Linked DNA regions of Macaca fascicularis. The protein of the gene in region 1 purifies or fractionates together with the protein of each later gene. This does not show direct contact. Links are inferred from orthologs where the notes say so. Each region holds a gene or a part of one and is shown on either strand. Other genes may lie near its edges.

The links.
Region 2: the proteins of TRAF7 (region 1) and MAP3K3 purify together in Homo sapiens (affinity purification with mass spectrometry; 5 studies listed by BioGRID and IntAct, with this or other methods). This does not show direct contact. The link is inferred for Macaca fascicularis from reciprocal best matches to the Homo sapiens genes TRAF7 and MAP3K3.

The regions. Positions count from the first base shown.
Region 1 is NC_088394.1:2,923,404-2,927,658, forward strand, and holds the start of TRAF7 (E3 ubiquitin-protein ligase TRAF7), read left to right. Parts: upstream 1-1,440; 5' UTR 1,441-1,524; intron 1,525-1,695; exon of another isoform or gene 1,696-2,165; intron 2,166-4,255. UniProt on the Homo sapiens protein: E3 ubiquitin and SUMO-protein ligase that plays a role in different biological processes such as innate immunity, inflammation or apoptosis. Potentiates MAP3K3-mediated activation of JUN/AP1 and DDIT3 transcriptional regulators.
Region 2 is NC_088390.1:70,192,572-70,196,373, forward strand, and holds part of MAP3K3 (mitogen-activated protein kinase kinase kinase 3), read left to right. Parts: intron 1-1,913; coding exon 1,914-1,981; intron 1,982-2,174; coding exon 2,175-2,267; intron 2,268-2,883; coding exon 2,884-3,075; intron 3,076-3,607; coding exon 3,608-3,756; intron 3,757-3,802. UniProt on the Homo sapiens protein: Component of a protein kinase signal transduction cascade. Mediates activation of the NF-kappa-B, AP1 and DDIT3 transcriptional regulators.

The DNA.
Region 1 (4,255 bases):
GGGGCAAAGGCATGAAAAACAGTATTTGGCTGGGTGTGGTGGCTCACACCTGCAATCCCAGCACTTTGGAAGGCTGAGGCGGGTGGATGACCTGAGGTCAGGGGTTTGAGACCAACCTAACACGGAGAAACCCCGTCTCTACTAAAAATACAAAATTAGTTAGGCATGGTGGTAGGCGCCTGTCATCCCAGTTACTTAGGCGGCTCAGGCAGGAAAATCGCTTGAGGCGGTGGTTGTGCCATCGCACTTCAACCTGGGAAACAAGAGTGAAACTGTCTAAAAAAAAAAAAAATTACGGGCAGAAATGGCGAAGGCAATCCCAAGAGATGGAAAGTCACTGGTAACGAGTTTCCGTTCCGTTTTCATGTCTGTACACTTTCCCAAGATTGCCTGTGGATAAGCCAGACCTCCGGGGTGCCAGAAGAATAAGAAAATAAAGACACTTGAGAGAAAACCGAATCAACTCACTACCTTTGCTTTATTGCTAAGCACTTCAATTGCCACAACGCCCACCTTACCGCTCGGCCCTCCGGATTGAGGTTCACTTAGGTTCAAAATTTGCAGCCGGCTGGCGACGAAACCTGAAAGTCAGACAGCGCCAAAACGTAGACAATAAGTCCCCACTCCCTCGTTTCGGGCAACACTTGTTTCCATTCTCAGCCCGTCTCCGTCAAGAGTGAGCACCCCCAAGCCTCAGTCTTGCAAAATAATCAGACTGCACGTGCAGTTTTCATACGAGGTGTCAGAAGTCAAAGCAATTCATCACAGGCTTGGAGAATAGGGGAACCCAGACCCGGCCCAGTCTTACCTGCAGGTAGCTGAGGGTCTGAGATTCAGGAAGAAACGTTTAAACACTAAGGGACAAAGTGGAGCCTAGGCCAAGGCTGGACGCCCGGGGACCGGGCCGGCCTGCAGCTTTCAGGCCGCCCTCAAAGCCACGCTCGTGGCCCAGTTCTTCCCTGGATCTTAGCACATGGCGTACGCATTAACACAACCCGCCAGCTTCGCACTCGACCGCAAAAGAAAGGAGGCGCACGAGGCTCAAGCTTTTATAGAAACTTTCCCACCTCTGTCATTGGGCTATCCTGGCGGAAGTGCCCGCCTTCCCCTGACGCTAGTACGCCCCGCTCCCTACCGCGTTGTTTCCACCAATCGTACCGTGGCATTTCTTTTGGCAGCGGTCTCTCGGACCCAGAACCGAAGCTCCTCCCTTATGCAGAGTCCGTAAAGCCTAACAGTGAGTGACGGATGAGCAAAGCCAATCAGACATCAATCTGCAACATAGAGTGATTCTGAAGCCGCCAATCCCGCCCCGCGACGACGAGGCCGCCGGAAGTCGTAGTTTCGGAAATGCCGCGCGTGAGGCAGCCGACCGGGCCCCGAGAGGTGGGGAACTACAAGTCCCGGCGGGCGCAGCGGCCGAGCGCTTCCGGCTCGCGCGTCCCGTCCCTTTCCCGGCCGGCGGCCGAGGGGGCATCATGAAGCGGGCTGGCAGTGCTGCCGCTCCCGGGCGGCCGCGGGCGGGTGAGTGTCCCCGCGGCGCGCCCGACCCGGAGCTCGCGCCTCGGGGCCGCGCAGTGGGGCGGGATCGGGCGCGTCGAGGTCGTGGCGAGGCGAGGCGAGGGGTCGGGCGGGGGGGGGGGCGGGGGCGGGGCTGAGACGGTCGGGGTCGGGGTCCGGGTCCGGGTCGGAGTCGGAGTCCGCGTAGCTGTCCGTCCGCCTGTCAGTTGTCCGTCCCTCGCTCCGTCGTGTTCTCGCGCGTTCTTTACTCATTCCTTTTTCCTGCATTCCCCGAGCCGCCCGGGTGCCAGGCACTGTTCTGGCCGCCGGGAGACTGCGGAGAACACGGTCCCAGTTCTCCTGTGATCGGCATCTGCTGCAGGGTTCCCCAACCTCCGCACCATCGACCACGCGGTCCGGGTCGCTCTTTGCTGCGGGGGGCTGCCCTGTACATTGTAGGATGTGGAGCAGCCTGCCTGGCTCCTGGCCGCTAGATACCAGTAAACACCCGCTCTTCCTCAATTGCGATAACAAATGTCTCCTGCGAGACAACTCCCCCTTATTCCCGGTCTAGACAGACAGGGTGGTGGGATGGACAAGAGATAGTCAAAATCGTGGGGAGCGGCGGTATGTGCTGTGAAAGAAAGAAAGAGGGTGCTGAAAAAGTGAGTACTGGTCGGGGGTGCGGGCGGCGCTACCGTTAGCCAAAGGCCTGATGGAGAAGTAGCCAGTCCCGGGACGTGCAGGAGGAGCGTTCCAAGAAGAGGGAGTCCGATGTACAAAGGCCTGGGGTGAGAAGGGGCCTGACGCACCCCAGCAAGCCCTGGCAAGTGGAGAGGCGAAGTCGATGAGGCCGGACCAGGTTCACAGAGTGCATGGCGGGGGTGGGGGCGGGGTTATTGTGCTTTCAAATGACTTGGGGTTGAGGAAGCGCTGGAGAGGCGGGTCCGATCTAGGTCCGGTAAAGAGCTTTCTAGCAGTTTGTGGACCACAGACTTCGGAGCTCAATGGGGAAGCAGGAGAGAGGGAGGCTAGGCCATCGTCTCCTAATCCCCACTGGGGTCCAGCTGTCAAGATATGGTTGTCTTGAGCCAGGCCAGAGTGGTCAGCTGGGGCTGAGTCTGGAGTCCAGGAGAGGGGCCTGCTGGATCCCACCCTGCTCTTCGGGGTGGAGGGCTGCTTGCTTGCTCAGGAATTTCACGCCGCCCAGCCTGTCTGCCCTCCTTTCTCACCACCCCTCCGACCCCTTCCTGGGCACACACAGGCCCCCTAGCCCTCGCCACGTGAGGAGCCTCCCTTTTCCTCATTCCTTCTCTTTGGGCTTCTCCCTTCCTAGACCCCTTTCCTGTGCCTCTCTATTGGGAATATCCTGACTTCACTGCTCTGGGCATTCATAGTTCTCTGTGGAAGCCCCGGGCCCCGTGTCCTGATGGGGAGCAGTGGTATGGGTAGCCTGGTCGAGGGAGGGGAGGGGCCAGGAGTCGGCACCCCAACCTGATGCCTCAACCTGAGGGTCTCTAGTGAAGTGACTTCCACCGTAGCCCACTGGGGCCAAGTGTCACGATATTTCTGGAAGTGAATGGAAAAGTTCAGGGTCTTTGGCACCCACCGAAAAGTGCCTTTGGCAGATTGAGTGGCGATTGGTGGGGCTCCTGCCCCTCCGTCTGCCTGTGTCCCCCACCAGGTTCCTAGCTCCTCCCAGGTCAGATTCGCGTTCAGCCATCACATGTCCCCACCCTCCCGCATAGGGCCTGGCACCCCATGGTTGGTGTGACTCTCGGCCAGCTGGTTGGACAAGGAATGAGCAGTTTGGGGAAAGGAGGAAGATGCGGTTGAAGGGATTCCTGGCCAGGAAGCATGGGCAGCCTGGCTCTGGGATGCAGCCGCTCCCTGCCTTGGCATGGGACTGGCTCAGGCACTGCCAGGGCTCTGGATATGTGGTAGCTGTGGACGAAGCAGAAGGAATGGGACTCTGGTCACCACGACACAGCCTGGGCCGGCCTCTCCCCCTTCCTCAGTCTCCATGGTCTGCTCAGCAGAGGAACTACTGTCTGGGGCGCCTTCCCTCTTGACAGGTGCATCTTCTCTTGGCTCCTTCCAGACGAGGGTCCGGCTCTACTCCAGTTTTCGAGAAACTGGAGGCTGGGAGGGCAGGTACACAGCTGTAAAGTGGCAGAAATGGAATTTGAACCGAGCTCTGTCTGAGCCCAGTGCCCGTTGCTTTGACCATGGTGTCACAGCATCTCCTGGACCGACGCCCTGCGGGATCAGGGAGGGCATGTGGGGAGGGCCGAGAACTGTTGGCTGCGTGTGTCTCGGTCTGGCCTTCTCGGTGGGTGGGCACCGAGGACTTCACCAGGCCCTCTGTGTGGCTCATGTGGGAGGAACCTGTGGAGAGGGACCCACCAAGCCCTTAGTCTTCTACAGATCCCCCGTTGCCCCCAGCCTTGCTCCCTGGAGGAGGAGGGTGCAGCCAGGTGGGGCAAGTGAAAGGGGAAAGTGAGCACTGGAGGCTGGGGCTGGTCATGTGCAGACCCGGACGCCCTCACTCAGCTGGAGGAGGCCAGCTGCCTGGAAACTCGGGGTGGAGGTGACCCAACCCCAGAAGCACCCAGGTGGGAAGTGGGGGGTAGCGACGCAGAGGGCCAGGACTGAGGGGCATGGGACGGTGTGGGAAAGGAGGTGGCAGTGCGGTGGCACGCTGGCATGAAAGTGCTGGGTGGCTGAGTGGGTCAGACGGTCTCTGCCCTCACGT
Region 2 (3,802 bases), on another chromosome or scaffold:
CTTGAGAGTTTCAAACCTGTGGCCGCCGCAAAAGGCCAGTAAGCACTCTTGTATAAGGGAAAGGGCCATTCAGGTGGATGCTGGGAAAGATAGCTACATTTACCTGCCTCTGTATTCTTGGGTTTTTTCCTCTGTCCCTACAGTACTTTCTTTTCTTCTCATTGTGAATGACCTGGACTTACTTCCTTGAGGTCCAGCCTGACTTGGGCTCAGGGCTCTCATCTTCCCTTCATGGAATCTGGGAAGGGGCATGAGATCTGGAGTCAGACAAACCTAGATGCAGTCCCAGCTCCACCAAATATTAGTTGAATGGCTTCAGACAAGTCTTTTAACCTCTCTGTTCCTGAGTTTCCCCATCTCCGAAATGGGATGGTGGTGATTAAGCTGAAAGAAAGATGCCTGGTTTAGCAGCAAGAACATAGACTTTGGGGTCAGAGACCTGGATTTAAAGTCTGGCCTTGAGGCACAGTGGCTCACACCTATAATCCCAGCACTTTGGGAAGCCGAGGCAGGCGAATCACCTGAGGTCAGGAATTCGAGACCAGCCTGACAGGCATAGGGAAACCCCATCTCTGCTAAAAATGCAAAACAACAACAACAACAACAACAAAAAAAAACAAGTGCAGTGGCTCACGCCTGGTAATCCCAGCACTTTGGAAGGCCGAGGTGGGTGGATCACGAGGTCAGGAGTTCAAGACCAGCCTGGCCAACATAGTGAAACCCTGTCTCTACTAAAAAATAAAAAAAATAGCTGGACTTGGTGGCGGGCGCCTGTAATCCCAGCTCCTTGGGAGGCTGAGGCAGGAGAATCACTTGAACGCAGGAGGCAGAGGTTGCAGTGAACCGAGATCGCCCCATTGCACTCCAGCCCGGGCAACAGTGTGAGACTCTGTCTCAAAAAAAAAGCAAAAAAATTAGCCGGGCATGGTGGCACGTGCTTGTAGTCCCAGCTACTTGGGAGGCCAAGGCAGGAGAATAACTTGAACCCAGGAGGCGGAGGTTGCAGTGAGCCAAGATTGCACCACTGCACTCCAGCCTGGGTGACAGAGCGAGACTCCATCTCAAAAAAAAAAAAAGAAAGTCTGGGGCTGGGTGCGGTGGCTCATGCCTGTAATCCCAGCACTTTGGGAGGCCGAGGCGGGCAGATCACAAGGTCAAGAGATCGAGATCATCCTGGCCAGTGGCGCGTGCCTGTAGTCACAGCTACTTGGGAGACTGAGGCAGGAGAATCGCTTGAACCCGTGAGGTGGAGGTTGCAGTAAGCTGAGATTGTGCTACTGCACTCCAGCCTGGCAGCAGAGCGAGACTCGGTGTCAAAAAAAAAAAAAAAAAAGTCTGGCCCTGTCTTCCTAGCTCTGTCTTTGAGCAAGTAAATAGGACTATGTATACCTAATCTGTAGGGGTGTCTGTGAACTCAGAAACAGCATAGCTGCTCAACAAGTGGATCTGCTATTATGTTATTTTTATTATATGGTATATTTGCTACTTCAGAGCGTTCTGAGGATTAAATGAGAAAAAACTCACTTTAGAAAATAGGTAAGAAAGCAGCAACCTATAAACAATGATGCTGTGGCTATTTTTATTACTCCCTGGGCAAAGGATTCTCTTGGAGCTCTTTTCTTGTTACAGAGGTGGGAAGAAAGGCCAAGGAGGGAGAAGGCTGTGCAGCCAGGCTGGAGTTGGGTCAGATGGGGGAGATTTACCACTCAGGGTGCTGTCAAATTTGGGTCACAGACTAGTGAAGGGAGAGTGGAGAAAGCAGGAGCTGGGCTCAGGAAAGGGCTGTTTCCCGCAAAATCTGCTTCCCCCACCTAACGCTGTGGCAAAGATTAGAAAGGGAGACTGCCTGGATGCCCTGCTGGGTTGCTGTAGAAATGTTCAGGGAGTCCGTTTTTTCTTTTTGTTTTCTCCAGCCCGTCCTTCCGGAAATCACGAATGTCCCGTGCCCAGAGCTTCCCTGACAATAGACAGGAATACTCAGGTGAGTTCACAGAGCCTGGGTGGGCAATGCAGGGGGTCTGGGTGGGGCCTCAGGTGGCTCTGCTTCAACTGTTCTGAGTCAGTAGCTCTCCTTGGGCTTGCTGCTTTGAGGTCTTAGGTGACTTGGGGGCTTGGGGGCTTAAGTGGCTCACATTGACCTACCCAGAAGCCAGTGATTCCCCCATCTTACTCAGATCGGGAAACTCAGCTCTATGACAAAGGGGTCAAAGGTGGAACCTACCCCCGCCGCTACCATGTGTCTGTGCACCACAAGGACTACAGTGATGGTGAGTGCTCCTTCACCTGCTCCCTGCTGGCTGCCTCAAGAAAGGACGAGCCGCCATAAGGAGGGTGGGCTCGTCCATGCAATGCCTGTATTTTCCTTCATTCCTGAGGAATTGTGGCTCAGACTTGAGGCACGGGAGACAGGAAAAAAACAAAAACAGGGAAGATAGTATTTGTAGACCAGAATGCTGCCACTGGGAACTCTGACCTTGGTTGGAGCCAATGGTGTGCTCCAGGGACACCATCTCTCCCATGCCCTCTTCTGCCCCACAGCAGCAGGTGGCCTGGGGCTCTACAGAGGGGTAAGGAGTAGGATACAAGGAAATCGGTGCCTTTGGGTGTGGCTTGGCCTTCCAAGCAATTGGGAGCCCGCGGGCCAGCCATGCACCTTCCCTCTGGCCGGATCTCCCTGAACCAGACTACTTCCTAGTTTCTGCTTTTGTCCTGATTCTTGGAGTGCTTGGGACAGCAGCCTCTGTGGAATGAGTCAGGTGGGAGGGCAGACAGGATGGGCTGGAGCTGGTATTATCTATCACTTCTGGCTCAGACCTGGTTTGTACATTCAGCCTTGTAGCCCGGGGTGTGACTTGCTCTACTCTGGCCCTTGCACCCTTTCAGGCAGAAGAACATTTCCCCGAATACGGCGTCATCAAGGCAACTTGTTCACCCTGGTGCCCTCCAGCCGCTCCCTGAGCACAAATGGCGAGAACATGGGTCTGGCTGTGCAATACCTGGACCCCCGTGGGCGCCTGCGGAGTGCAGACAGCGAGAATGCCCTCTCTGTGCAGGAGAGGAATGTGCCAACCAAGTGTGAGGAGCTGTCCCTGGCTAGGAGGAGACTGCCAAGGCGGTCTCAGACAAGCTACAGGGGCATAACAGCTGGGCCCCTTGGACCCTTAGGCTCAGCAGGTGGTGGCTTTGGCCCACATGCACCACACGGGATAAGCCTTGGAGTGCCTGAAGCCTGGCTCCACTGTTGTGTGATGAGCCTCTTCTCCTCTCTGATCTTTAGTTTTTCCATGTTTAAACTAGGGAAGAGGACACCCTTCATCCCTGCCATATTAAGATATTTAGGGGCTTTGGAAGGAAATGTATTTATCAATGCAGAAGAGCATTTAATCATGACTTCAGCCAATCCTCTGCTTCTTAAGACTCTGACTTCAGGTCCGAGTGACTAGGGCTCTGGGCTTGCTCTAGATTGTGGTGGAGATGCTCTTCTAAGAGAAGATGTGATGGTGCTGGGTGAGGGGGAGCCTGAGCCAGAGGCCCTGTTCCTGGAGAATGAAGGGGATATTCATAAATAATGTACACAAAGTAACTCTTTCCTTCTGCTCTCCTGTAGCTCCCAGTGCCCCCATCAATTGGCGCCGGGGAAAGCTCCTGGGCCAGGGTGCCTTCGGCAGGGTCTATTTGTGCTATGACGTGGACACGGGACGTGAACTTGCTTCCAAGCAGGTCCAGTTTGACCCAGACAGTCCTGAGACAAGCAAGGTACACTTTCCCCATGGTCTGACTTCCAGTTCCCTCCTTTCAACAG